2 linked regions of the Oryctolagus cuniculus genome follow. Each later gene encodes a partner of the first gene's protein in a complex. Links are inferred from orthologs where the notes say so. Each region holds a gene or a part of one and is shown on either strand. Other genes may lie near its edges. The genes, in order: CFAP36 and ARL3.

What was found.
Region 2: the proteins of CFAP36 (region 1) and ARL3 are in contact, whole or in part, in a crystal structure (PDB 4ZI3), measured with the Mus musculus proteins. The link is inferred for Oryctolagus cuniculus from reciprocal best matches to the Homo sapiens genes CFAP36 and ARL3. Residues at the interface, in NP_080016.1 of Mus musculus: Glu44, Glu45, Ser46, Lys47, Leu48, Thr51, Glu52, Lys58, Val61, Glu62, Leu65, Glu76, Phe79, Gln80, Cys83, Thr84, Ala88, Lys89, Leu97, Val100, Leu101, Ala103, Glu104, Asp105, Phe106, Thr107, Ile108; in NP_062692.1 of Mus musculus: Leu3, Leu4, Ile6, Leu7, Arg8, Lys9, Leu10, Lys11, Ser12, Arg19, Lys35, Glu40, Pro47, Thr48, Gln49, Gly50, Phe51, Asn52, Ile53, Lys54, Trp66, Ile74, Tyr77, Ser80, Tyr81.

What each region holds. Positions count from the first base shown.
Region 1 is NC_091433.1:147,075,636-147,090,689, forward strand, and holds the start of CFAP36 (cilia- and flagella-associated protein 36), read right to left. Parts: upstream 6,882-15,054; 5' UTR 6,640-6,881; coding exon 6,525-6,639; intron 2,673-6,524; exon of another isoform or gene 1,907-2,672; coding exon of another isoform or gene 1,601-1,906; exon of another isoform or gene 1,539-1,600; intron 1-1,538. Other genes in the region: non-histone chromosomal protein HMG-14, read left to right, coding at 1,601-1,906. UniProt on the Homo sapiens protein: May act as an effector for ARL3.
Region 2 is NC_091446.1:27,268,393-27,283,312, reverse strand, and holds the start of ARL3 (ADP-ribosylation factor-like protein 3), read right to left. Parts: upstream 9,516-14,920; 5' UTR 9,507-9,515; coding exon of another isoform or gene 9,504-9,506; 5' UTR 9,407-9,503; coding exon 9,383-9,406; intron 3,203-9,382; exon of another isoform or gene 3,117-3,202; coding exon of another isoform or gene 3,114-3,116; intron 2,802-3,113; coding exon 2,658-2,801; intron 1-2,657. UniProt on the Homo sapiens protein: Small GTP-binding protein which cycles between an inactive GDP-bound and an active GTP-bound form, and the rate of cycling is regulated by guanine nucleotide exchange factors (GEF) and GTPase-activating proteins (GAP).

The sequences.
Region 1 (15,054 bases):
TCCAGCTCTCTGCTATGGCCTGAGAAAGCAGTAGAAGATGGCCCAAATCCTTGGGCCCCTGCCCCTACATAGGAGACCCAGAGGAAGCTCCTGGCTCCGGGCTTCAGATCAGCGCAGCCCTAGCGATTGTGTCTACCTGGGGAGTAAACCAGCAGGTAGACGGCCTCTCTCTCTCTCTCTCTCTCTCTCTCTCTGCTTCTGCCTCTCTGTAACTCTGAGTTTCAAATAAGTGAATCTTGAAAAAAAACAAAAGCTATGTAAGAATTTCAATTTTAAGATTTATTTTTTATTTATTTGTAAGGCAGAGTTACAGAAAGAGAGAGAGAGACGGAGTGAAAGAGATTTTCCATTCTCTGTTTTACTCCCTAAATGGCTACAACAGCCAGAGTTGTGCCAGGCTGAAGCCAGGAGCCTGGAACTCCATCTGGATCTCCCATGTGGGTGCAGGGACACAAGCACTTAGGCCATCTTCTGCTACTTTCCCAGGTACGTTAGCAGGCAGCCAGATTCTACGGAGCATCTAGGACTGCAACTGACACCCATATGGAATGCTGGCATCAGAGGCAACATCTGACCCCACTATGCCACAATGCCGGCCCCAAGGATTTCAATTTTTTTGCACCAAAATAAACTTAAGTCTTTGATTTTCCATTAACTTTGTTTTAAAAGGTTAGTTATTTACTTGAAAGAGAGTTCACTTGGTTCACTCCCCATGTGGCCTTGATGGCCGTGACTGGGCCAGCTCAAAGCCATGAGCCTGGAACTCCATCAGGGTCTCCCACATGGGTGGCAGGGACAAGCACTTGGGCCATCTTCTGCTGCTTTCCCAGGCACATCAGCAGGGATGTGGATCAGAAGTGGAGCAGCCAAGGGGCTGGCACTGTGGCTTAGCGGGTTAATCCTCCACCTGCAGCACCAGCATCCCATGTGGGCGCGATTCTGGTCCCAGCTGCTCTTCTTCCGATCCAGCTCTCTGCTATGGCCTGGTAAAGCAGTGGAAGATGGCCCAAGCACTTGGGCTCCTGAACTCATGTGGGAGACCTGGAAAAAGCTTCTGGCTTCTGATCAGCCCAGCTTTGGACATTTGGAGAACAAACTAGCAGATGGGAGACCTTTCTCTCTGTCTCTCCCTCTCATTGTCTGTAACTCTATCCCTCAAATAAATAAATAATATCTTTAAAAAAAAAAAAAAGTGGAGCAGCCAGGATCTGAACAGGCATCCATGCAGAATACAAATATTGTAGGCAGTGGCTTAACTCACTTGCTGCGCTATAACCCTGGCCCCTCCATTAACTTTTAAGTGTGTTCAGATAAGGCAACAATATTTTTGTAAGCTTTTAATGAAATCTTATGTTTAAAACTTTTAAACGTTAATCCTTCTAAAACAGTCTCCAGCTTATTGTACTGGAATTTTTCTTATGAAAATTTTACTGAAAGTGATTAGCCCCTTTCTGTCACCATAGGTCGGTAATGATGTTAAACTTAAAAAACCAAAACGTGGGCGGGTCCCAGCAGCTCGGGCGGCGGGAGTGGCGGCAGCGAAGGCTCTCGGCGCGCCGCGGCCCGCAGGCACCCGGCACGCGCCCTCCGCGCCGCCAGGATGCCCAAGAGGAAGGTCAGCTCTGCCGAGGGGGCGGCCAAGGAGGAGCCCAAGAGGCGGTCGGCGCGCTTGTCGGCGAAGCCGGCCCCCGCCAAGGTGGAAGCGAAGCCCAAGAAGGCCGCCGGGAAGGATAAGTCATCAGACAAGAAAGTGCAAGCAAAGGGGAAGAGAGGAGCAAAGGGAAAACAGGCCGAGGTGGCTAACCAAGAAGCTAAAGAAGACCTGCCTGCAGAAAACGGAGAAACGAAAAACGAGGAGAGTCCAGCCTCTGATGAAGCAGAAGAGAAAGAAGCCAAGTCCGATTAATACCATACACCATGTGTTATCAGTGCTCCCTGTCTCCCTTCTTGTACAATCCAGAGGAATATTTTTATCAACTATTTTGTAAATGCAAGTTTTTTAGTAGCTCTAGAAACATTTTTAAGAAGGAGGGAAGCCCACCTCATCCCATTTTTTAAGTGTAAATGATTTTTTTTAAGAGGTGAAATCATTTGCTGGTTGTTTATTTTTTGGTACAACCAGAAAATAGTGGCATATTGAATTCTGGGAGGCTTTGACTGTCTTGGGTGTCAGCTTAACATTCCATAGGTGGGGGTGGTTTTTATATCCTACAGTATAGCGCATACTAAATGGCAATTTGGAGTCTCAATTGTGCATTTAATCTGTCTTGAATATTTTCAGTTACTTCTCCCGTGTTTTGTAGAATTGTTTTCTACAGAAAACCACTCCTTGTTCTGTCAGAACCATGTGCACTCTGTAACATCTTCGGCTGTGGTAGTCCAGTTTTCCTAATGATTTTGTTAATGTGCCGTGAAAGATTGAAAATTTGAGTGTCGTGTATATGCTATTATATTGTGAATGGGTGGGATTTATGTAACAGCATCTGAAGATACTTGTACTTGATAGCCTCTTAAGGAAGAGTTGCCTCCAAATTTGAAGCTGGAAAGTCACTGGAATAACTTTTAAAAAAAAGAATGACAATTCATGGCTTTTTAGATTTTTGGTACGTATGTTAAGAATTGTGTACAAATTAAAATGTGTGTGCTGATTCTCAACACCAATAAAATCTCAATTATGGACAAAAAAAAAAAAAAAAAAAAAAAAAAAAAACCAAAACGTGGAGCCAGTGGTGTGGCGTAGCAGGTTTGGGCCTCTGTATTCACATGGGAGACCTGATAATGCTCCTGGCTTTGGCCTGGCCAGCCCTGGCTTTGGGAACTTTTGGGGGGTGAACCAGCAGATGGAAGATCTCTCTCTCTAACACTGCCTTTCAAAGATATAAATAAATTTTTTAAAAAACATGTGATTATATGTGTGAAATAATGTAGATTTCAAATATACATATTCCCTCAGGAAGCTACAATCTAATTAAGAAAACAGGACAGGGGCCAGCGCTGTGGCTTAGTGGGTAAAGTCGCCACCTCCAGTGCTGGCATCTCATATGGGTGCCAGTTTGAGTCCCAGCTGCTCCACTTCCCATCCAGCTCTCTGCTAGGGCCTGGGAAATCAGTAGAAGATGGCCCAAGTCCTTGGGACCCTGCACCTGCGTGGGAGACCCAGTGCGGCTCCAGCTATTGTGGCCAATTGGGGAGTGAACCATCGGATGGAAGACCTCTCTCTCTGCCTCTCTTCTCTCTGTGTAACTCTGACTTTCAAATACATAAATAAAATCTAAAAAAAAAAAAAAAAATCCCAAGACAAACTCATGAATTGCAAACAATTTTTCATTCTCCCAGACTGATCTTTCTAACTTCTGCAATTTTCAGTTTAACTCTTCAACAACTGCTCATTACCAATAAGTGCAAAATCTTAAGCAGGTCTGAGAAGATTCCAGATCTCATTTCCTACTCCACAATCCAAGCCTCAGCCTCCTAACAATGCACAACTACTTGGAAGACCTCCAAGCATCATATATACCACTTCAAATCCCCATGACTTTGCATAAGTCCTGTCCTCTTTTTGCCTTTACTCCACCCTTTTTGCCCCCTTTCTCTCCCAACCACATTTCAAGATATTGCCAAGTAGCACCTTCTGCATGATCTGCTACCCACATCCAACTCCTAACCTGGTTAGATCCCTTCCTCTGATCTCTTACAATGTACACCACCATATGTCTTCCTTTATTATATCAACTGCTACACTGTATTTCATTCTGTTTACCAGCCTGTCTTCTCCACTAAAATTTTCAAGCACCGAATTTTGTTTTGTCTTTCTATCCCCAGCTTTTGGCCCAAGGATGACATTCAATAAATATTTGTTGAAATAAATGCTGGATTTATAAAGTTGTAGAAAACTGATATTGAAATTATCTGAGGTTGAGATTAGCACATAGGCAACGCCAAGTCAGTGAAATATAAACAGGTATTTGAAGTGTCCTTGGCATGTGATTTCTATTTACCCTGGCATCTGCTCTGTGTAGCACTGTACATATATTCAATACAACAACTACTTAGGCTGTTTTCAGTTCATTCTGAAACCAAATTACTACAGTACAAGTTTCTAAGGCTAAGATTTCTGCCTCTCAATAAAATTATACTATCCGGTATGTTATTACTGGGATACAGCCACTTTTGACACTTGTAGTTAAAAAGATAAACGATGCTTTAATTTTTTTTCCCTTTTTAGTATTTAGCCTCAGTGGGACAAACAGCAATAACAAGTGATATAATTTTTTTTTGTTATTTTAAAGGATACTGGAATTCTAGGTGCATTATCAGTGTCTATTTTTTAATTGTTTTTAAAGATTTATTTATTTATTTGAAAGAATTACACAGAGATAGGAGAGGCAGAGAGAGAGAGAGAGAGGTCTTCCATCTGCTGGTTCATTCCCCAGATGGCAGCAACAGCCAGAGCTGCGCCGATCCAAAGCCAGGAGCCAGGAACTTCTTCCAGGTCTCCCATGCGGGTACAGGGGCCCAAGGACTTGGGCCATCTTCTACTGCTTTCCCAGGCCATAGCAGAGAGCTGGATCACAAGTGGAGCAGCCAGGACTCGAACCGGCACCCATATGGGATGCCAGCACTGCAAGCAGCGGCTTTACCCACTAGGCCACAGCGCCGGCCCCTTTCAGTGTCTTATAATTTCAAATTTTTAAAAGGAGTACAAATAAAATTATTTTGTTTTCAAAACCTCTTAAAACTACCTGTGAAAATCAACAGTTAGGGAGCAGGTGATCAGCCTAGCAATTAAGATGCCTGCATCCCACCTCTAAGTGCCTGGATTCAATGCTCCACTGCAGCCTCCTGCTGATGTAGACCACGGGAAGCAGCAGTGATGACTCCAGTAAGTTGGGTTTCTACCACCCAGGTGGGAGACATGGGTTGAATCTCCAGTTCCTGGCTCAGGCCTGGTCCAATCCAGTACTGGTCATTGCAGGCCTTTAGGGAGCAGATAGGAGCAGGTTCTCATGTTCTCTCTCTCTCTCCTTCCCTCGTTCTCAAATAAATAAATTTTTTTTTTTTTTACAGGCAGAGTGGACAGTGAAAGAGAGAGACAGAGAGAAAGGTCTTCCTTTTCTGTTGGTTCACACCCCAATGGCCGCTCGGCCAGCGCACTGCACTGGATCCGAAGCCAGGAGCCAGGTGCTTCTCCTGGTCTCCCATGTGGGTGTGCAGGGCCCAAGGACTTGGGCCATCCTCCACTGCCGTCTGGGCCACAGCAGAGAGCTGGACTGGAAGAGGAGCAACCGGGACAGGATCCGGCACCATGACAGGGACTAGAATCTGGTGTGCCAGCGCCGCAGGCAGAGGATTAGCCTAGTGAGCCACTGCGCCGGTCCAAATAAATAAAAATTTAAAAACACAACACTTAAAAACTGCTATTTTTATTTTTATTATGGCAAATAAGAATGTGATTAAAAAATCAGTGGCCAAACAAAATTTCATCTTTACCAGATTCATAGAATCTTGGGTTTGAAAGAAATCTGAAAAGGACATCCAAGATAACTAATCATTTGATAGTTGCAACCCCTCTAACAACTTAAGTCAATGTCAGATCCATTCAAAACCTGCTGGTGCCCGAGAAACCCATTACCTTCTGAGTAAGAAGAATACATTCTGTTAGGAAGCAAACCTTCCTTCACAGAAATCGGTTCCCCTATGTCTTGTACTCGGCGACTCTAACTCTAGTCCACCGAACCTTACAAAACAAGTCTAATCTCTCTAACGTAATACAAATGTTCAAATGACTGACAGATATCACAGCTCTCAAAGTCTTGCGCAGCTGAACAACCACAATAATGGCTGTGTGTGTACTCACCCCTAAGACACGGTTTCTGGTTCCTTTTCTATGAATGGGCACCAACCAGTCTCCAAGAACTGATTATAGAACTCTAAGCATGAGCTGATTAGAAACTTAGCCCGCACACCACCGCGAATATTATGCCACGTCTGTAAGCCTCACTGGGCAGAAGCGCACCCCTCTCCATTTGGGAGACAACCGAGATTTGGAGAATTCAACAAGGGAAACAGACGTTTTGCTGAATGGTCACATGCTCTCCGTTGCTCATCGATCTCGGGTGAATCATTTCTCATCTCCTAGGCTGGCTGCACACGGACCAAATGCTAACTAGCAATATGAAGGAACCTAGAGGTAAAATGACGCGTCCCCTCCCGAGCCACCAGAACAGCTGTTGAAAAAGCCCACCCCAAAAGTACACGTGCCCGGGGCAGGGACGAGCAGGGTAGGGTGAAAGACAGAACACAGGATTAAAGTCTTAACGTTTTTCGGCGTGCGCCTGGGCTCAGGGAGAGGGGAATCTCAGACTGCATTTTCAGGTCTGCGAGGGAAAACACCGGCGGGGTGAAAGCAACTGCTCCCGCACAACCAGCGCTAAACACGGCCGACAGGAGTGGAGACCACCTCCCGGCCAAGGGCCGGTGTGAGGGAGGCGAGGAAGGACGTCGGCGCGAGCTCTGGTAATTACCTTCACATTTCTGCTCCACGAAGTCCAAGATGGGGATGGACCAGTCCGGGCCTCGGAGGAACCCCGCGATGCTCTCCACCACCCATTCCACCTCGTCGTCTTTTTCCGCAGACATACCGCCCTTCTGGGCGACGCGGATCCCTAGGCCAGGCCGCTGGAGCCTGCTGGGGCCTCCTGGCTACAGGGAGCAGCGAGGAGCGGAAGAGCTGGCCCCGCGGTCGCCCAGATACCTGGATCTAAGCTACAAACCAGTTAACGTAAAACGGTCGCTATGGCAACGTGCGTAGCCGCCCCAGGCTGCGGCCCGGAAGTGAAGCTGGCTTCCCTGGAGTCTGCGCTTCTCAAAGGAGGCGGGGGGGGGGGGGGAACGGGGGCGGGGAGAGCGTTAGAAGAACGTTTCCGATTGGTTGGAAAACAACAGCAGCGTATCAGAAGATACCTCTCCACCCATTGGTTCGGAGTTGCTAAGGCCGAGAGTAGAAGTATAGGCAGCTTTTGGCTGGAGACCCTGGTAGGAATCTGTGTGTTCCCTCCTGGGAAGTCCCTGGGAGCCAAGCCTTAGAAATGGCGGAGTGAGGGACCACAGAGTCGACAGAAGGCCTCAAAGACTTCATTTCGTCGTTGTATCCCAGCCCCTCAGTCCCAAACACTGAGAATCGCTGACCCAGAAGCCTTTGTAATTGAAGGGTTGTCTGAAAATACAAAGCTGACCAAAGCTCTGTAAGACTTGCTGTTAGGCTCTGCGGCCAATTTGCTTCCTGTAGCTCCAGACAGGTCTTTAAAAGTTCAAGCACAAATGGACATAACTACAATTAGCTTTTCAAGGGTAAAATCGAAGTTAATATTCATCTTACATCAAATAATTCCAACTCAGTTTCCAGGTTGTGATCTATTGTGGAATGAGTCTTCAAAGGTCATCATCAAGGTTCTCGGAGTCCTGGGATATCTTCATACAACATGGTTCCGTGAATGGAGTCCTTATAGGCTTATGTACAAGTATGAAACCTTTTTCACTTAGTATGTTTTCATCTTTTCAAATAAGAAAAAGTGCTTCCCTTATAGATGCGAAGTATTCTATAAACCACTCTTTAGTCTATTTTTATTTCAAAATGTTTGTATGCACATATATCTTACTTGGATGCATAAATATGATCATTAGTGTGCAATTTTTTTCTTGTTTTGCCTGTATGGTTTGGGAGTGCTATTAAGTATTCAACCATTGTTTGCTTCTGCAGACTGCTGAAATAAACATGCATGTGTTCTAGTCCCAGTCAGGGTGCCAGATCCTGTCCCGGTTGCTCCTCTTCCAGTCCAGCTCTCTGCTGGGCTTTTTAAAGTATTTTTTTTTTTTTTTTTTTTTGAAAGGCAGAGTTAGAGAGAGAGAGATCTTCCATCTACTGATTTAATCCCCAAATGGTTCCAATGGCTGGGGCTGAGCCAAGTTGAAGTCAGGAGCCTGAAATTCCATCTGGGTCTCCCATCTGAAGGCAGGGGCCCAAGTACTTGGACCGTCATCTGCTGCTTTCCCAGGCACATTAGCAGGGAGCTGGATTGGAAGTGGAGCAGCCAGGACTCCCCTAATCAGTGCTCATATGGGAAGAAGGCATTGCAAGAAATGTCTTAATCCACTGAGCCACATTGCCAGCCCCACGAACTGCTGGGTTTATTTGTTATTCCACCGGAAAGATTTTAATACAATTGCTAAATGAAAGAATGTATACCTTGATTTATTTGACCATCGTTAACTACTAGATTTGATTATTCCTACATAGCTTTCAAATGATTCTGTCAGCAAAATCCACTAGAAAAGAATTTAGGATAAAGAGACTTCAGAAAACAGTCTAGGGCTAGCACTGCCAAAGTCTTAAATGCCAGCATCCCATATAAGTGCCACTTGGAGTCCCAGCTGCTCCACTTCCAATGCAGCCCCCTGCTAATATATTTGGGAAAGCAGCAGAGGATGGCTAAAGTCCTTGGGCCCCTGCACCCATGTGGGAGACCTGGAAGAAGCTTCTGGCTCCTGGTTTCCATTCCCAGCCATTGTGGCCATTTGGGAAATGAAGCAGCAGATGGACTCTCTCTCTCTCTCTCCCTCCCTCCCTCCCTTTGTCTCTCTCTGTAATTCTGACTTACAAAAAAGTCTGCAACCAAGGGAAGAGAAGGAGCCTTTAGGCTCAGAATGATCAAAAGGTTATATATAAGGTTCCTGCTCAGGTTCCTATCCAGGCCTACTATACAGATGAGGGATGCTAGCTTCAGAGATAGCACTGTAACCTGATGGCTTCATACTCAAAAGTGACCTCAGTTCATGGTCAGGCCTGGATGGCAAAAATGGGACTTTTGGGGGCTGTCCATCTCAGCAGTTGAATCAGGAACGTGCCTAGGCACAGACCACAAACACAGAGCATAACAGAGTAAATGTGTAACGGCAAGCCAGCAAATAGCAGCTGAACTCTGTTTTGAGCTTTAGGCCCATTTCCCACTTAAGGTCCGTCTTGAAAGTTCAACTTTCCCTGTCTTCCAATTCCAAACAGTTTACTGCATGATATTTTTGTTTTGGAGTTTATGTCTTTTTTCTGATTTAACTTTTTAATTAAGAATGCACATCATCTCTGATCCCATACATGAGAACTTGGAGTGAATTCCTCCTGTACTCAGAAATGTTATAACTTTATTGGTAGCTGCCATGTGTGACTTGCCCTAACTCCTGGACTGCAAAATTGTCAGATAACTGGGTCCAGGTTCTGTCCAATGTAAGAATTTGAGGATAAGACATAGGTAAAGATCAAGAGAAACAAGATGATTTGCATGCAAAGCAAAGGTACACACTCAAGAGGGAGAGTGGGCACACTGGAATAAGCTGCACTCAGTGAGGTTTGGGTCCACCCCGGAAGTGATCTGGAGGCATAGAGGGTGGTGTCTGGGGCATGGTTAAATTGAATATTTAAAGGGGGCAGATTTGGGGGCAGACCTTGAGGTTTTACCCATTTACTTGCTCTTTTTGGAAAGCTCAGAAGTGTGATGATATCAGGTCCATAATAGGAGTAGAAGTGTCAGCCATGGTAATTTTATTATAAAGACATTACAAGCAGCTAAAGGTTGTTGCTGGAATGAAGTCTCCAGCTGCAACCATGTTGGTTATTTTGGGCCGCAGCTGGTTCAAACCAGCAGTTTCAAGGACCCCTCAATTTTCTGCTGCTTAGAAATGGGAAGTGGTTGGCTGGTGCCAGTGGGGCTACAGCACAAGCTGGACTGCAGCTAGGGGCTGGTGATGTCAGCTCTGCTTGCTAGCTGCCTCCTTGCCTTCATTAAAAATACATGTAAACTCGGGGCCAGTGCTGTGGCTCACTTGGTTAATCATCTGCCTGCGGTGCTGGCATCCCATATGGGCACCGGTTCTAGTCCCGGTTACTCGTCTTCCAGTCCAGCTCTCTGCTGTGGCCTGGGAGGGCAGTGGAGGATGGCCCAAGTGCTTGGGCCCCTGCACCCCCACAGAAGACCGGGAAGAAGCACCTGCAAACATATGCTATAACACCCTGCATTCTGTCAGCTCCTTTTCCACACACTAAGTACCCAGGCTGCAGAGAGGCCAGGCCTGGAAGCTTGCAAGCCTGGCATCTCCACACTGGTGCCGCTCATTAGCATGGAGGAAGTTCACCAACGCTCACTGGGTGTCTGCTGTGGATGTCAAGCCAGATTCTACCAAAAATCACTGATGCAAAGGTACAGCTGAAACTTTAATTAGACTATCTTCTACAGAGGCCTACTTCCACCCTAATTGAGCTAGTGGACTTTAATAATTTTGAACCTTGGTGCCAGCGCTGTGCCTCAGGTTAAGCCTCTGCCTGTGGTACTGGTGTCCCATGTGGATACCAGTTCAAGTCCTGGCTGTTCTACTTCTGATCCAACTCCCTGCTATTGCTTTTGGGAAGGCAGCAGAAGATGGCCCAAGTGCTTGGGCAGGTGCACCCACTTGGGAGACCCAGATGAATTTCCTGGCTCCTCACTTCAGCCTGGCCCAGCTCCTGCTGTTGTGGCCACTTGGGGAGTAAACCCAAGTTTGGAAGGTTTCTCTCTCTCTCTCTCTCTCTCTCTCTCTCTCTCTCCCCTCCAAATAAATAAGCACATCTTTAAAAAAATAATTTTGGAACTCACTCACTATGTGGTGAATATCCCTCATGTGTTGAGTGTGTTTTCTGTGAAATTTGTTCACATTACTTACCCCCTCTTTAAGTACTGTGAATCTAAGGGAAATTGTATGGCAATCATACTTTGATCATGTCCTTTTTTGCCAGACATAACGTTACTTCATTGTATTAAGCCCATAGACAACTATGTAATGAATGCACTTGTACATATGTTCCTGAAACACGTTCTCATTGTTTCCTCTGAATAAATTCTTCATGGGAAAATTACTGAACAGATTTTTAAAAATATCTTTGACAGGGGATGGCATTTGTGGTACAGTGAGTAAAGCCACTGCCTCCAGTGTTGGCTGACTGTTCTATTTCTGATCCAACTCCCTGCTAGTGACCTGGGGAAAGCAGCAGAAGATGGCCCAAGTGCTTGGGCCCCTGTTACCCATGTCAGAAACCCAGATGAAGCTCCTGGCTCCTGGCTTCAGCCTGGCCCAACCCTGGCCACTGTGGCCATTTAGGGAGTGAACCAGCGAATGGAAGAGCTGTGTGTGTGTGTGTGTGTGTGTGTCTGTGTCTCTGTGTAACTCTGACTTTCAAATACATCTTTAAAAAAAAGCAAAAGGAAGTATCTTGGACATCTGCTAAGTTAAAAATGATACATTATGGTAATGGCATTGTGATATAGTGGGTCAAACTGTTGCCTGCAATGCCAGCATCCCATATAAGCACTGGTTGGAGTCCTAGCTACTCCACTTCTGATCCAGCTCACTGCTAATGCACCTGGGAAAGCAGCAGGTGATATTTCAAGTATTTTAACCACTGACATCCAAGTGAGAGACCAGAAGGAGGAGGCTGTAAAAATACTATCTAACTGCATTCCACAGTACTGGGCACTAGAGTCTTTCCAGAGCTTTTCAATTTCCCTGGAGGCTTTCCCTTCTTTTGTTTTCTTTTAAAGTTCTTTTTAAAGGATTTATTTATTTATTTGAATGAGTTACAGAGACAGAGGGGAGACAGAAGGACAGAGAGAGAGAGAGAGAGAGAGGGATCTTTCATCCACTGGTTCATTCCCCAGATGGCCACAATGGCCAGACCTGGGCCAGGCAGAAGCCAGAAGCCAGGAGCTTCATCCGGGTCTCCCATGTGGGTACAGGGACCCAAGAACTTGAGCCATCCTCCGCTGCTTTCCCAGGCCATTAGCAGGGAGCTGGATCAGAAGTGAAGCAGCTGGAACATGAACTAGCACCTATATGGGATGCCGGCATCTAAGGCGGTGGCTTTACTGGCTCCATCCCACCTTTTTTTTTTTTTTTTTTTTTTTCAGGCAAAGTTAGAAAGAGAGAAAGGTCTTCCTTCTGTTGGTTCACCCCCGAAATGGCCACTACCAGGTGCTTCCTCCCGGTCTCCCATGCGGGTGCAGGGCCCAAGCACTTGGGCCATCCTCCACTGCACTCCCGGGTCACAGCAGAGAGCTGGACTGGAAGAGGAGCAGCTGGGTAGACTGGGTAGCTTTGAAAACACAAATTTATTTTCTTAAGGTTCTAGAGTCTGTTGGCTTAAAGTTATTAGCAATAGCCTTAAAAATACCAATATAAGAGAAGTGTCATTTTAAAATAGACTATACAGAAGATTACTAATGAGCCACCTAATTGCTACACTGCTTTCAATCCTGTAAATTTCCTTTATTCCTGCTAGAGAAAGACTTTTTGAAGTTCTAAATAATAGGTTATTTGAAAATATTCTCACTTGATTATTTGGCTTACATAACAGCAAAGAGCTGGGGTGGTTTCCGTGGGTTTGCAAATAATTACCTGCCATAGCTTCAGATTTTCCCAATGGATTCTCAGATTTTTTTTGCATTTGCAAATATAATAACAGAGTTACCAGTCCCTTTTCAATTTCTCTTTTTTGTACTTCTTGTAATCTATAAAATATTCAGGAGCTCAACTTAAAACAAAGGAAAAGAAATAACAAAAATACATTGACTTTTCAAATTGGGACTAATCCTTTTCATTTGATGTAAAATGCTGTTGTGCTAAAAAACCTTTCTTGACTCATCCAGTGCATATTATGAAATGACGACACTAACCTCTGAAAATGTATTCTAGTTTGCTTGTTTTCTGGAGATGAGGCAATTCATTTAATCTCTAAATGTTTGGGGTCTTTTGTGGATTTTTTTCTGTTATGCCTCCCTCTCTTTATTCATGAGGATTTTTTCATCATTTTATTGATTGATTTGTATGTGTGTAAATGATTTTCCTGTATTGCTTCTATTCCTTCCTACCTTTTGTACTGACTGAGTGGATTCTTCCATTTTTTTTCCATTGTGTTTCTGCATCCATTTTCCTGGCTTAACTACTGTATTAGTGATTTTGTGGGGCACAATTAATTTATATAACATATTTATATATATACTTCAAGACTGATTTTAGTTCTCCTTTTTTTTTTAAGAATTATTTATTTTATTTGAAGGTCAGAGTTACATAGAGGGGGGGGGGAGGCAGAAAGAAAGAGAGGTCTTCCATCCGCTGGTTCATTCCCCAGTTGGCTGCAACAGCTGGAGCTGCACCGATCTGAGGCCAGGAGCCAGGAGCCAGGAGCTTCTTCCGGGCCTCCCACATGGGTGCAGGGGCCCAAGGACTTGGGCCATCTTCTACTGTTTTCCCAAGACCACAGCAGAGAGCCGGATTGGAAGTGGAGCAGCTGGGACTCAAACCGGCACCCATATGGGATGCTGGCACTGCAGGCGGTGGCTTTATCTGCTATGCCACAGCGCTGGCCCCAAGATTGATTTTAGTTCTCTTTTGCACCCTGAGAGGCAGCAGATAATGATTCACCCATGTGAGAGATCTGGATTGACTTCCAGTCTCCTGGCTTCACCTTGGTCCAGCACAGCAACTGCTGTTACAGGAATTTGGGAGAGTGAACAATCAGATTAAAGATCTAAACCAAAAATATTGTTCTTTATAAAGGAAGCATGGTATTCCGGAATATGATGTGTGTCCATGTATTCAGTGACTAAGTTATTCACACTGACTTGCAGTGTTTTGCCCAATGCTACAATAAACATCCATGTACATGTCTTTTTGCATTATTGCCTGAGGGTTTCATAAGAATGAAGGGGAATTCCAGCTATGTGGTATTTTTCCATTGGCACTGCCAAATTGCCCTCTAGAAGATGGTACCAACTGGGAGTCTTACCAAAGATCGAGTGCTTATTTTCCCACACCGTGTTCATTATGAAAACTGTTAGTATTTTAACACTCTTTCTGGTCTGAGAGGTAAGAAATAGCTGTTTTAATTCTCTCTTGTTTAATTGTTAATGATATTGAGGATTCTTCCCACAAATTAATTGACCATTTATATTTGATAAATAATGTTTTTATTTTTGACTTTTTATTATGAAAATTTGCAAGTACATGTAAAAGAACTATGCTTCAGTAACTATCAATATTTCTGCCACGGGCCAGCGCTGTGGCCTAGCAGGTAAAGTGCCACTTGCAGCGCAAGCATCCCATATGGATGCCAGTTCAAGTCCTGGCTTCTCCACTTCCAATCTAGCTCTCTGCTATGGCCTGGGAAGGCAGTGGGAGATGGTCCTGGGCTGCTGCACCCTCATGGGAGACCTGAAAGAAGCTCCTGGCTCCTGGCTTCAGATTGGCCCAATTCCGGTCATTGTGGCTACTTGGGAAGTGAACCAGCAGATGGAAGACCTTTCTCTCGCTCTCCCTCTCTCTCTCCCTCTGCCTCTCTCAAACTCTGCCTTTCAAATAAATGATGCATCTTTTTTAAAAAAATATTTGTTTTAAAAAGAATGTTTTTGCCAAACCTAGACATCATGTTGTTATAAATAGGCAGTAAATCAGATTGGAAAATGTCATTTAATGACTTGGACCCAAGCACCCACTTGTAATTTAATTTTTTGCATATTGAGAAAGAGTTGGAAAACAATGGTAGTATACACGTCGTTGCTAATTCAGCCACTAGATGGCAGCCCCTAGAGGTGGAGAGTGAGGAGAAGAAGAGATCGGTATCTACCAAGATTCTGCTTCAGCATGGCCCAGAAGTCTTAGGGAACTTGCTTCCCCATCCATTGGAGGGGAGAGAGATTAGTCAGGGGCATTGTTTTAAACCTTAGCATTATAATTATCTGAGAGCAATGTATTTTATATTCAGATAAATGTCTTTTGTGGATTTTTACTTTTCTTCATTGTATCATTCTTAAGATCTCCAAAAACAAATTTTAATTAGAATTGAACCAAATCTATAAGATAATTTGATAAAATAAAGATCCCTATAATATTTATTTTTCTGATTGAGAAACAACATTGGCCATATTTAAGTCCTGGCCTCTCAGTATCAGAGTTTTCCTTTTAAGGCTGGTGCACATC
Region 2 (14,920 bases), on another chromosome or scaffold:
TGGTAGGAGTTGAAATGACTTTCCTACAAAGAGCTGAGAATCGGCGCGAGGCACAGGCCGTGAAGTATACATACCCACCGTGTTCAAACCTGACACTGAGGTCTCATTATGTACAGCATCAGAAAATGCTAAATAACTCTGGTTTTGCTAAAACTTGTAATGCTCAAACACTTTCAAGTGACCAAGACCAATAGGCTATCCCTCTTGGCTTGGGCAAAGGCCACGCTTTCTCAGGATTCCCTAGTGGGAATGAGGTCCAAAGAAGCCTGCTGGGGTTCTTCCAATCACAGTCCATCTTTACCCCTCCTGCTGGGAGCACAGCCACTGCTTTATCCTTTGTGTTTTGCTTGCATGGCCTTAGGAAAGAGGAATGTTGATGAAGCTATATTTTATAAGACAGTAATTGTCTTATATTTAAAAAATGGACAGGTATTTGTAAGCCTGAAAAAATATGCACTAAAATATTGACTGTGCTTTTGGCTTTTTCCTTTCTACTTTCTCTGAATTTTCCCCAATACTAATTTAATAGTCAGAGAAGATAAAGCTATTTTTTGAAAGAATATATAGGTAATTACTTTCTGAATGAACTGTTTTTGCAACACACACACATGTATATGTATTCTCATTTTTGGTGTTTTAAAAAGATTTATTTATTTATTTGAAAGGCAGCGTTACAGAGAGAGACTGAGAGAGAGAGCATCCATCTGCTGGTTAACTCTCCAAATGGCCACAATGCCAGGGCTGAGCAAGGCCGAAGCCAGAGACCTGGAACTCCACCTGGGTCTCCCACATGGGTGGCAGGGGTCTAAGCACTTGGGCCATTTTTTTTTATAACTATTTTATGAAAAAAGGATTTATTTTATTTATTTGAAAGGCAGAGTTACAGAGAGGCAGAGGTGGAGAGAGAGGTCCTCCAACTGCTGGTTTATTCCTGGAAGGCCAAAATGGCTGGAGATGGGCCTGTCTGAAGCCAAGAGCCTGGAGCTTCTTCTGGGTCTCCCATGTGCATGGAGGGGCCCAAGGGCTTTGGCCATCCTCCACTGCTTTCCCAGGCACATTAGCAGGGACCTGGATGGGAATGGAAAGGGTGCTCATATGGGATGCCAGTACTGCAGGTGGCCACTTAACCCAATGTGCCACAATGCTGGCCCTTAAATTCTGATTTACGTATGAGGGTACTTCAAAGACTTTGTGAGGACCAGCAGAGTGGTGTAGCGGGTAAAGCCACCACCTGCAGTGCCAGCATCCCATATGGGTGCCTGTTTGAGTTCTGGCTGCTTCAGTTCTGAGCTAGCTCTCTGCTTTGGCCTGGGAAAGCAGTAGAAGATGACCCAAGTCCTTGGACCTCTGCTCCCAGGTGGGAGACCCAGAAGAAGCTCTTGGCTCCTGGCTTCAGATTGGCACAGCTTCAACCATTGAGGTCAATTGGGGAGTGAACCAGTGGATGGAAAACCTCTCTCTCTGCCTTTCCTTCTCTCTGTGTAACTCTGCCTTTCAAATAAATAAATACATCTTTAAAAAAAGAAAACTTTGTGAAAAATGGAACTAAAAGGTAAGTTTGTTTTCGTGCAAAAGAGCTAGGAATCCATAAATATGAGGGGTCTTAGAAAGCTATACAAAATGTATATTATAAAAAAACAAATGCATGGATTTCTTTATCTGCTCATTCATTCCCAAAATGTCCAGAACAACCAGGGCTGAGTCAAGCTGAAGCCAGGAGCCTGGAACTCAGTCCAGATGTCCCATGTGAGTGGCAGAGACCCGAGCACTTGAGTATCACCTGCTGTCTCCCAGGGTGCACATTAGCAGGAAGCTTGATTGGAATCATTGTGGGGACTCAAACTCAGGCACTGTGGTAAGCAATACAGGTATCACTGCCACAACGCCTGCCCCATAAACTTTAATTTCATTTTTCCAAAAACACTTTGAAGCACCCTTGTATGTAGGTATATATTTTTAAGATTGTAGAATATACATAACATAAATGTGCTGTTTTAACCATTTAAAAGTGCACAGTTCAGTGGCATTAAGTATATTCACACAGAGATTTTTTCATTTAAAAAAATATGGAGCTGGTATTATCTCCTAGCGGCATAACCTGCCATCTGCAATGCTGGCATCCCATGTCACAGTGCTGATTTGAGTTCTGGCTGCTCCACTTGCAATCCAGCTTCCTGGTTAGGTGCCTGGGAAGGCAGGGGAAGATGGCCCAAGTACCTGGGACCCTGCACCCATCGCCTATGTGGGAGACTGGGATGGAATTTTTGGTTCTGTTGCAGCCATCTTGGGAGTGAATCAGTGGATGGAAAATTTCTCTCTTTCTTCTCTCTCTGCTGCTCTGCCTTTCAAATAAATAAATCTTAAAAAAAAAAAAAACAACCTATATTTATTAAACAACACCTCCACATTCATAATTCTCCCAGTGCCAGTAAGCCCCATACTAAACTAACTTTCTCTATGATTATGGCCACTTGAAATAGCTCATATGAAGGGAATTTCTTGATGTATGTTTGAAATCTGATTAATCTTAGACTGTATAGACTTTTCTCAGAAACAGATCATGGGAGTGGACAAAACTCTATTTCCCACGTGGTCTTTCACACCTCGGTTAGCCTCCTTCCCCAGTCACACAGCACCTGGAGGCAGGCAGTGCTCACCTGTGTAGGTGTGATGTGGCTGATGTCCTCCGATGCAAGCTGCTTCAGAAGGGTGGTCTTGCCAGCATTATCCAAGCCCAGGAGAAGGATTCTCACCTCCTGGTCCGGTGCACTTTTCAATTTGCGCAAAATTGAGAGTAAGCCCTTAAACAACCATGAAGGAGAGAGATTACTTTAGGGGCACTGGTTTTGACATTACTGGACATCAGAATGACTTCTCCTTGAAAAACGTTCTTGGTTATGGAGAGCTTATGTCATTATTTTCCACTCTAATGCCACTTAGTTCATTTACTTGCTCCTTCCAAGTGTTGGCAGACACACTACGGTAAACTCAGCAAGTTAATAAGCAGCCTGGCTTATTCCTGCTCCTCCTCTTAATCCAGCTTAACAGTCACCCCAATTCTCCTGTGAGTGCGCACTACTACCCACTCTGTTTTCCTGAAAACCTTTACTCACCATAATTGATTTTGTATTTTTTCTTCTTCACTAGGGTGAAATTTCTCACGGGTAAGACTGACAGCTTCTGTCTTCCACAGCGCATGGCACTTACTAGACAGACAGCAGGTAACAGCTATCAAATTCAACAGAATCACCCACCCGAGTCAAGGCAACATTTTCAAGCACTTAAAGATCGTAGCTGAGCTCTCTATGTAAGACTATCTATTTCAGTTCATGTTTTAAGACTTCATTCAAATACTCTATCATAGTCTAACTTTCACAAGAGCATTTCAGGCTACACACATGCTATACAGATTACCTGGGTTTTTCAGATGAAAAATCGGATACAACAGAGAAACTGAGGAATTGGAAAGGGCATTCATGAAGAGAAAAACATCCAGATATAACCAGAGTATTTCTGAATAGTCATCTAACATTTCTGTTGCTTTTTTATTTATTATTTTTATGGATGAAAATAACCCACGTTGCTTTTTAGCTAGCCACCGAGACAATTTTTATGTGATAGTTATTTGTTTTGTCCTGCAGCTGACAGTCGAATGAGGCATGGCTGCAACAAGCCTCAAAGAATCCCAGAGTTGAAAGGGCATATAATCTTATCTCCCAGCCAGAGCAGAAATTCCTTCACGCTGAGTCTAACAATATATAAAATGGCTGTATTTGTTATCCACATGGCAGCAGGCAACGATTCAAACCAGTTTGTTCACTAAGATCAAACAATACTTCTGTGAAAGAATCCTTAACAATTAGGTCTAGGGACAATGATATGCAAATACACATAATTATTAAGAACTCCTTTCTGCCTGGAGGCTCCTTGTTTAGCACTTGAACTACTGTATTTGTACTGACTTGCTGAGGACCGCATTAACCTCGCCAGCCTTCAATCATTCCAGCAGCAAAATGAAAGGTTGAGTTTAAGATAGAAAGACAAATTCTATGCCCAAATATTTAGGGGAGGAGACTGGATGGACTGGAAACAAACACAATATAGGCAGGGCTTTTTGTCTGTTGTTTCACTTTAGTTTCCAATCTCCTCTAGCCTTGAATACTTTGACACCATTCCTTCTTTCTCTTTTTATTTGTTTATTTATTTATTTATTTTTTTGACAGGCAGAGTGGACCGTGAGAGAGAGAGAAAGGTCTTCCTTTGCTGTTGGTTCACCCTCCAATGGCCGCCGCGGCCAGCGCGTTACAGCCGGCGCACCACGCTGAGATGGCAGGAGCCAGGTGCTTCTCCTGGTCTCCCATGGGGTGCAGGGCCCAAGGACTTGGGCCATCCTCCACTGGACTCCCGGGCCACAGCAGAGAGTTGGCCTGGAAGAGGGGAACCGGGACAGAATCTGGCGCCCCGACTGGGACTAGAACCTGGTGGGCTGGTGCCGCAAGGCGGAGGATTAGCCTAGTGAGCCGCGGCACCATTCCTTCTTAAAACTGTATTTGTAGGCCGGTGCCGCGGCTCACTAGGCTAATCCTCCGCCTGCGGCGCCAGCACACTGGGTTCTGTTCGGGTTGCTCCTCTTCCAGGCCAGCTCTCTACTGTGGCCCGGGAAGGCAGTGGAGGATGGCCCAAGTGCTTGGGCCCTGCACCCCATGGGAGACCAGGAGAAGCACCTGGCTCCTGCCTTCGGATGGGCATGTTGTGCCGGCCGCAGCACGCCGGCCATAGCGGCCATTTGGGGGGTGAACCAACAGAAAGGAAGACCTTTCTCTCTCTCTCTCTCACTGTCTAAGCTCTGTCAAAAACAAACAAACAACAACAACAAAAAAAAACCCCTGTATTTGTAAGAAGTCTCCTGGGCTTCCATTTGCAATCACTCATTTATAATACCACCTTTCAGAATAGTTACAATTCTGAGATCTTCAGAATGATACAAAGAACAGGGAAAACACAATGCACTACTCATCCCGAGTGCCTGATTGGATGTGAAAAAAAAAAAAAAGGGTCCCATTATCTCTTACAGTAAATCCCAAAAAACTGGAACGTATTAATACATTAAATGACATACAGGTAAAATCTTCTGAGTCACCCACAAGTGAAGAAACTGTGATGAAGATCTGCTTGCTTTCTTTTTTTGACAGGCAGAGTTAGACAATGAGAGAGAGAAAGAGACAGAGAAAGGTCTTCTTTCCGTTGGTTCACCCCCCAAATGGCTGCCACTGCTGGTGCGCCTGCACCCATCTGAAGGCAGGAGCCAGGTGCTTCTGGTCTCCCGTGCGGGTGAAGGGCCCAAGCACTTGGGCCATCCTCCACTGCCCTCCCGGGCCATAGCAGAGAGCTGGCCTGGAAGAGGCCAACCTGGAAGAGGGGCAACCGGGACAGAATCTGGCGCCCCAACTGGGACTAGAACCCGGGGTGCTGGCGCCGCAGGTGGAGGATTAGCCAAGTGAGCCGCGGCGCCCACCTAGATCTGCTTTCTAAGCTTGATGTTTTGGGTTCTCTCTCATGTATCTTCTCTTTTTAAAAAAACATCAAATAAAATACTCTTTTCTGCAGGCTAGGATTTTCAACACAACTCATTGTATTTGAAACTGCATAATTAAAAGTATCATTTATATTCATCTTAAAAGAAAGGGAGAGAACACAGCCCAGAGGTTAAAGCAATCATCCTGACTGCAGAGAAATTTTACTAACCTAATGGCCCAGAATACTATACGTCTTCACTTCTAATTGGGAAACAGAAAGTTTACGTGCTTCACCTATAGGTGAAATTACGGAGAAATGTAAAGTTCTGCTAATATTTTCTTGCAGCAAAATGCTAAGTGTCATGTCAAGCATGGCCTAGGGATACAAATGCAATGCAGCAGGCTACTAATCCACCTACGGAGGACAGGGGCACACAGGATTACCAGGTGTGCTAAATAGGGCTGAGGACATTTATAGATGCCAGGGTTCTGTCTGAAAGGTACAGAGTAAGCTGATTCAAGAGAGGCTGAATGGAAGGGAGCAGAGTAAGTCTAGGAGCATTCTGCCCTTCCATCCATATACACCCATGCTCTATCTTAAATGTCCAACCAAGGGAGATAGCCTTTAGAAGTTAAATTTATCATTTGCCTGAGCTTTGCAGTATAAATGAACTTTACAAGTTTTATTCTTGGTCAAAATATCCATTCATTATGGGTCATCCTATTAGACAGCCATAATGTACCCAAGTACAACAGTGAGCAAAATGGACAGGACCTCTATGCAGGATCCACATTCCTCCGACATTAAACAAAGGCAGTAAGAAAACAAGAATTTCAGTTAATTGTACGTTGTGTGTCACTAGCATGGGTGTTTACAAGTTATCTGCACCCTGGTGGACGGAAGTGGTCTGACTCAGCCACAAGCACTTAAACTAACTTTTCTACAAGCAAATCATGCCTCCAGACATTTTATCTGCCTTAAAATCAGCTTAAACTCAGCTACTGGCAGAGGCATGGCACGCTGACCTAAAATGATGCTACAAACTAGGTCACTCAAAGAGACTGGAGTGGTGGAGGGGGACAGGGATGTGTTGGAGTATGGAAAATGAGCTAACATTTTACATATTGAAATTACAAAGCCAACTTTCAAAGACGGCCCCTCCCAATGACTAGCTTAAGTGGAACTGACCATTTTTACTTACTTATTCTTACTTCTTTAAACTTCTACAGCTTTGAAAGGGAAAATCTCACTGACATTTTGTCATCTTTCTCATCACCACTCTACTAAATAACAACACAAGGTTTCCCAGGCATCTCCTCAGCCAGGGTGGGCCTCACTAGGAGGTTCAAGATTTCAGATTTGTATTCATTCAACTTCCCTCTCCAAGCACACACAACCTGGGGCATCTTTTCATCTAGGAAATGGGAACAGCAATAGACACACCCCCCAAAAAAATGCCAAGAGCATTAAATGAAGTAACAGATAGAAAGCATGCCACATGGTAGGCACTCCCAACAGTAGTTGCGGGCTTTTTGTTCCTTAACTGACCATTTTCAGACCAGAAAACTTAAACACTGCTGGGAATAAGCTTTCAGTGTTGAATAAGCTTGACAACTGCCCCAAGCTCCACAGGGGTGGAAAGCAATCCCCAAATAGCTACTGCATGGAGTCACACAGTAAATAACAGTGATTAGTTATGTGCTAAGATTACTGTCATCTTGGTACTTCTTCAAGAACTTGGTATCATAAGGCAAGAGTAATGCAGCTGACTCTAAATGTTCACAGAAACCAATAATGGTTGCAGTAACCTGAATTTTTTTTAAATATATCAGTTGATGCTGAAATTTAAAAAAAGCTCAAAACTGGCCAGCGCCACGGCTCACTTGGCTAATCCTCCGCCTGTGGCACCTGAACCCCGGGTTCTAGTCCTGGATGGAGCACCGGATTCTGTCCTGGTTGCTCCTCTTCCAGTCCAGCTCTCTGCTGTGGCCCGGGAAGGCAGTGGAGGATGGCCCAAGTGCTTGGGCCCTGCACCCCATGGGAGACCAGGAGAAGCACCTGGCTCCTGGCTTCAGATTGGCGCAGTGCGCCATTTGGGGGTGAACCAACGGAAGGAAGACCTTTCTCTGTCTCTCTCTCTCACTGTCTAAGATCTGCCTGTCAAAACAAAACAAAAAAAGCTCCAAACCTGGAATTCAGTTTTCAGTTGTACAGTGAAGCATGGGGCTCCTGGGGATACCAGATGTGACATATTTAATTACATCACTGACCATTTAAATTCAGTGTTCTACTTCCAATCCTAAGAATAGCTCACTCTTTTAGAAATAGACCAAAAAAAAAGTGTATTTGGTAACCAGATAAAGAATCCAGAATAATTTGTTCTACTTTCTTATTGTTCATTTTAAGAAAAAAGGAAGAGACAAACCCCCAATCTGTTTTGATTATTGACAACAGTTGTATACAACAGTGTTGTGTACACACTGTCAATCTGTATACAGTGCCAATGTGCACCTGGTGCGGTCCTCGATAATGACAAATCTCACTCTCTGGTGGTTTGACATGCCTTTTTTTGTTTCGATTTTAGGAATTTTCTGTGTAAATATTTATGTTTGCACTCATAGGTTGAGAAAAACCTAGCCTTCAAGTGGACTGCTCATGTATAAATGATTACTAAAAAGAAAACACTTGCAAAAATCTGTTTAGCCTGAGGTTTCAAAAGCTACAAATGTAGCAAGTGCGAAGTGTGATGGCAAGGTCAGATCAAGTAGCTCTGCTTTGGGAGCGATATGACAATGTTAAATCAACTGAGGCTCTTTCTTCCTATCAAAATTTACTCAATGGATAATCGACCAAAGGGAAACATGTACTCTCTCCTCCCGGTCATCTGGATTTTTCTTACTTCTTAAATTAATAGTAATGGTTCAACATTCGAAAGGTCAGAAAGGAACAAGGGGGCAGGGTGGAAAGTTACTGCAAGTTTCCTTTACTGGATTTTTTGCACTTGGTAAACCAACCAAGCTGCTCCGAAATCTTTAACAAATCGATTTTTCTACGACTAGCTCAAAAGTCACTCAATGCCACCGCACAGAAATCAACAAGGAACTGTCAAATCCATCACACAAAAAGTGCGATTTGTCACAGCCTTAATTAGGGTTGACAGAGGAAACGCTCGCCCCACTCACGCCTATTCTCCAGTTCTAGCTTCCCTCCCTCATTGCCGGAGGTGGGGTTGGAGACCCCACGTGGGGATCAAGACCTTGGGGCCCGGTGTGGCCACATGCAAAACGGGGTTGCAACAGGTTTCCAAGGAGATGGTAGGGGCCGGGAAGCCAATTTGTTTCCATCCACACAGATTAAGGACTGAACGAATCGTCGGTCATCAGCAACCGGATCTTGTGGAACTCTGAGCAAATGAATAAATAGCTCGGGATTTCAGAAGCGCCCCCGCCACGCAGCCGCCGACACTGCGTGGAACCCACCAGGCATCCCAACCGCACCTCGTTTTGTCCTGGGAATCGGACCCCGGGGGCCCAAGCCCGGCTACCGTCCCCCGGCGCCGCGGGCCCACCTTCTCCCCGCTGCGGGCCCGGACCCCGTCCTGCAGCGCGAGGAGGCCGAGTCTCAGGGTGATCCAAGCCTGCGTGCGGAGGCGGCTGCTCCGCAGCTCCCCGGATCTGCCCTCATCCCTGCCACCAGGGCACTGATGGAGCCTGGGCTCGGTACCCGGCCAGCCACCAACTCTGCCAGCCCCTTCCCCAAGCCTCGGACCCGTCGCAAGCCCCGCCTTCCTCCCTAAGCCCAGGCCTCCCTTCTGGGCCCACCCTCGGGGCTTCCCGCCGCCCCTCAAAGCGAATCCAGAACCCACACTGCAGGCTGAGCGCCTTCCCATCTCCTCCTCGGCTTTAAGCGCGGGGCTCCGCCCTGGGCCTGGAGCGGGGAGGGGGGTGATCGGCCGGGTGCAGAGGGGCCCGGGTCCCCACACTCACCATCCTCCCGCCGAATCCCTCCTCCTCCTCCTCCTCCTCCTCCTCCTCCTCCTCCTGCAGCCTCCCCCGTTACCAGGGGCAACTGCCGCGGCGCCGCCCCCGACGTCCCTCGCACGCACAGCGGAGGAGCAAAGCCGCCGTATTGGGCGGGGTCCGGCTTCGCTTTCTCCAAAGTGCGCAAGCGCGCCGAGGTGCCCGCCCCTGCGCGGGCGGGGTCGCTGCAGAGGGGGCTGGAGACCCAGGGAACGGCGAAAACTCGCCCACGTGGCTGGCGGGAGCCTCCCGGTGCCTGATTGGCCAGGAGGAGGGGCGTGGGCGGGCGAGAAGGCGGTCCCTTGGCCCTGGCAGGCGGAGCACCCTGGCCCGGCTTGCAGCGGCTGGCTACATCTGGCGGCGGCTGTGTCAGGCATCCCTCTTGCGGCCAGGTAAAGGGTCTTGAGCGGAGGCTGCCCAGCGGTTTGCAGTCGCCACGTCCCGGGAGGGCTGGGAGTTCTGTCCTGACTCCGCCTGCGCTGGGCTGGGGTGGGGGCTAGACTTCTACCTGCAGAAGCCACGTGGTTCAAGGAGTGGCCTAGAGCTGCTCGCAGATGCCACTGCTCGGATTCTAGCTGCCATGGAGCGCCGGGCAGAAGGGTGGGGGTTAGGGGCTGTGCAGTCGTCTCCACAGGGAGTCCCTGCGGGTGAAGGTTCCTGGTCGGAGGGCCGGGGGCAGCCTCCTGACCGCTCTAAACCCCGAGCTGGGACCTGGAGGCAAAAACGGGCCTGCACTTCCCTTCAGGGGGCAGAGAGACGGGTTCTGGGTGAGCTGGGAAGCGCCGCCCCCACCCCGTCCGTGTAAGTCTCAGCACGTGCATTAGTGGTAGGCCCGCATCTCGGCACACTGCGGTGGACAGTCTGCCCTCATGGAAATGTCGCCTTTCCTAGAGAACTGCTTTTCACCGCACAACTCCAGAAATTGATTGTTGCAGATGGCGAGTTTGGACTTGGACCGACTTGGACACACTTGTTTACTTTGCTCCTAAACACAGTTGTTCAGGTGGGAGGGACACATCACAGATGGAAACCAAGAGCTTTTGGAGAGCTGATAAAGTCTGGGGGCAAATGATACATCTGGAAGCTTGCTAATGTGCGTGTGTGTGCCTGTGACCTCAGCGGTTTCTAGTGAGGGTAATGTGAATTATGAATATTATCTGTCAGATGCATAGAGCATTGCCTGCCGCAAAGGAAGCACTATCTAAGGGCTTACTTTGCTCTTTTTTAAGAGAAAGAACACCTAACCATTGGTTCACTCCCAGAATGCGCAAGATGGCCCTGGGCTGATTGGAAGCCCAGAGCCAGGAACTCAATACAGGATTCCCACCTGGGAGCTAGCTGGAGTCGAAAGCCAGGGGCTATGGTGCATTGGGTTAAAGCCCCAGCTTGCAGTGCCGGCATCCCATATGGGTGCCGGTTCAAGTCCCGGCTGCTCCAATTCCAACCCAGCTCTCTGCTGTGGCCTGGGAAAGCAGTAGAAGATGGCCCAAGATCTTGGGCCCCTTCATCTGTGTGGGAGACCCAGAGGAAGCTCCTGGCTTTGGATCAGCTGCAGTCATTTGGGGAGTGAACCAGTGATGGAAGATCTCTCTCTCTCTCTATTTCTCTCTCTGGCTCTACCTCTCTCTGTAACTCTTTCAAATAAATAAAATAAAATCAAAAAGAAAGAAAGCCAGAGCTGGGAATTGAACCCATGCACTCTGATGTGGGATACAGGCATCCCAGCCTCTGAGCTAAGTGTCTGCCCTAGGGCTAGCTGTCAATAATTTCATCTAGGGTTTTGGACTTTTTTTCCCTACCAGCCGGATTCTATGTCTAGTTAAGATCATTAGAATGAAGATATTTTTCCTGAGTGGTCTTTAACTGTTTACACATTCAACTAGAGGTTGTTGTATTTTATTTATTTGTTTGTTTTATTTGAAAGCCAGAGAGAGAGAGAAGTCTTCCACCTGCTGATTCACTCTCCAAACACCCTTAACAGTTGGGGCTGGGCCAGGCTGAAGCCAGGAGCCTGGATTCAATCTAGGACCCCCATGTGAGTGACAGGCACCCAATTACCTGACCCATCCCCTGCTTCCTCCCAGACTGGACATTCGTAGGAAGCTGGAATTGGAAGCAGAGCCAGGACTTGAACTCAGGTTCTAATATGGAATGCAGGCATCCCGATGATGGTTTAACCCCAGTGGCAAATATCCACTCCCAAAGTATTTTTAAAACACCTGGGGCTTGGTGTTGTGGCGTACCAGCTAAAGCTGCCACCTACAACACCTGCATCCCATAATGGGCGCCATTGAAGTCCTGGCTGCCCCACTACTTATCCAGCTCCCTGCTAATGTGCCTGGGAAAGCAGAGGAAGATGGCCCAAGTGCTTGGGCCCCTTTCCCACATGGGAGACCCAGTGGAAGCTCAGGCTCCTGGCTTCATCCTGGCCTAGCCCCGGCTGTTGTGGCCATCTGGGGGAATGAACCAACAGATGAAAGATCTCTTTCTGTCTGTGTTTTCCTCTCTCTCTCGGTGTAAATATGACTTTCAAATAAATGAATCATTTTTTAAAAATCAGCTACGCGCATACCAGCTTTAGATTTTTGGAGCAAAGACGCAGTTCAGAACCTTGACCCAGGAGGTGCCAGATGAATGAGTGCTTTGGGGCATGCACCCCTATGATCCATCATTTTTAGGTGGCTGGCTCTTTTGTGAGAAAAGCGAGGCAGGTTTCTTTCAGGTTGTCAGGCGCCTAACATCACAGCAGCCTGGAGTCAGGTGAGTGTTGGCTAACATTCCTGGACCCACTCTCATGTCCATTGGGTTCTAGGAAACCGTGATAGGAATCTTCATCCATCTCAGTCAGTGGCCTTTGGTCTGACTTCAGAGTCTGGCAGCCTCGCGCCTATAAAGACATCGTGGGTCCCCATGCCCTTCAGCTGTGACCTTCTCCAGTGCTGCAGGGCAGATATTAGTCAATCTTTGTTTTCATTTCCACCGTGTTCCTAGTGGAACTGTAATGCAACAGAAGTAGGGCTGTCTGGGACACGATGGTAGCCTTTTCTTCCTTCCTCGCTCCCTCCCTCCCTCCCTCCCCTCTCTCTTTCTTTATTTCAAGATTTTTTAATTTTATTTGAAAGGCAGAGTTACAGAGATCAGAGGCACAGAGAGAGAGAGAGAGAGAGAGAGAGGGAGAGGTCTTCCATCTGCTGGTTCATTCCCCAGATGGCCATAAGGGCTGGAGCTGTGCTCATCTGAAGCCAGGAGCCAGGAGCTTCTTCTGGGTCTCCCACGCAGGTGCAGGGACCCAAGGACTTGGGCCATCTTCCACTGCTTTCCTAGGCCATAGCAGAGAGCTGGATTGGAAGTGGAGCAGCCAGGACCTGAGCTGGCGGCCATATGGGATGCCAGCACTGCAGACAACAGCTTTACCTATTACGCCACAGCACCAGCCCCCTCTTTTTTTATTTTTTAAAAGATTTATTTTATTTATTTGAAAGACAGAGTTATAGAGAGACAGAGAGAGAGCGAGGTCTTCCATATGGTGGTTCACTCCCCAAATGGCTGCAATGGCTGGAGCTGAGCCAATCTGAAGCTAGGAGCCAGGAACTTCTTCTGGGTCTCCTACGTGGGTGCAGGGGCCCAAGGACTTGGGCCATCCTCTGCTGCTTTCCCAGGCACATTTGCAGGGAGCTGTATTGGAAGTGGAGCAGCTGGGACTTGAACCGGCATCCTTATGGGATGGCGAACCTTCAGGCCTGGGCATTAACCCACTGTGCCACAGCGCCGGCCCCAATGGTAGCCTTTTTTAGGGAAGGCTAGATGCGGCTTGTGCGGGAAGACGGAGGGAAACCGTGTAGGAGAACTTAGAGGCCACACGTGCCTTCGTACAGCAGGGTAGAATTTGCGGCTTCATGAAATAACCTGCTCTTCTTCTGAGCAAGGCAGTTCCCGAGTATGACTTCAGAGAGGAGCCAGGAGAACCCAGGCCTCTGCTGGAGGGCATCTCAGGCAGGCAGTAAACGTTTGTAGAGGGCATATGAGAGATGCAGCAGGGAACACTAGACTTGGTCCTGATGCCCGTGAACTTTACAGTCTGTCGGGGAGGCCAGGTAAATGAGTGACTGTAAATGGCAGGGAGCCGGCAGTGCTAACAGCCCAGCATGCTGCAAAGCTCCGGGTGCCAGAGTACTTATTGCAAGGACTTGGTGCCCTGCAGGAGTCAGAGAACTGTTCCCGTTGGCGGACAGCGGATGTTGGCGGGGGGGGGGCTGTTCCAGACAAATAATCGAGTTGTCTTTTTGGTCTTGTGGTTTGTATAAAATAAGGACTGTTCTGTTTCCATCCTGACCCCAGTAAGGAGGGCAAAGATTCTTGCATCATTTAGCAAATGATTATCGTGGTAGAACTTCCATGTGGGACAGTGGACTTTGCAATGCTGACTTGAGGTAGGTGTGTGTGTGTGTGTGTTGGGGGGGAGCATAGCATTTTGCTCGGTAGGCTGTCCCCAGCACCTGTGAGCCCAGGGTTGTGTAAGCCAAGGCAGAGTGACTTGCTGGTCAGCCAGACTCCCAGCTTCACATAGAGTCCAGGGAAGCCAATTCTTTACCTCTTCCCACTCCTGGTTCAGTTAGAACTGAGACCTATGCCTGAGTCTTTTTTTTTTTTTTTTTTTTTTAAGATTTATTGATTTATTTGAAAGGCAGAGTTACAGAGAAGCAGAGACAGAGAGAGAAAGAGAAAGAGAGAGAGATATATATCTTCTATCTGCTGGTTCACTCCCCAAATGGCTACAATGGCTAGGGATGAGCCAGGCCAAAGCCAGGAGCCAGGAGCCAGGATCCCCTTCCAGGTCTTCCAAGTGGGTGCAGCAGCCCAAGCACTTGGGCCGTCTTCTGCTGCTTTCCTAGGCACATTAGCAGGGACCTGGATCAGAAGTGGAACATCTGGGACCTGAATCGGTGCCCATGTGAGTTGCTGATGTCGCAGGTGGCAGCTTTACTTGCTGTGTCAAAGCACCAGCCCTGGTAAGTCCCTTTTAAGAAAAAAGAACTGGGGCTGGCATTGTAGTGTAGTAGGTAAGGTCGCTGCTTGTAGTGCCCACATCCCATATGGGTGCTGGTTTGAGTCCCTGCTGCTCCACTTCTGATCCTGTTCCCTGCTAATGTGCTAGGGGAAAGCAGCGGAAGATGGTCCAAGTCCTTGGGCCCCTGCACCCATGTGGGAGACCCAGTAGAAGCTCCTGACTCCTAGCTTTGGCCAGGCCAAGCCCCAGCCGTTACAGCCATTTGGGGAGTGAACCAGTGGCTAGAAGACCTCTCTCTTTCTCTCTCTGCCTTTGTCTCTGCTTCTCTGTAACTCTGCCTTTCAAATAAATAAATAAATCTAAAAAAAAAAGTGGC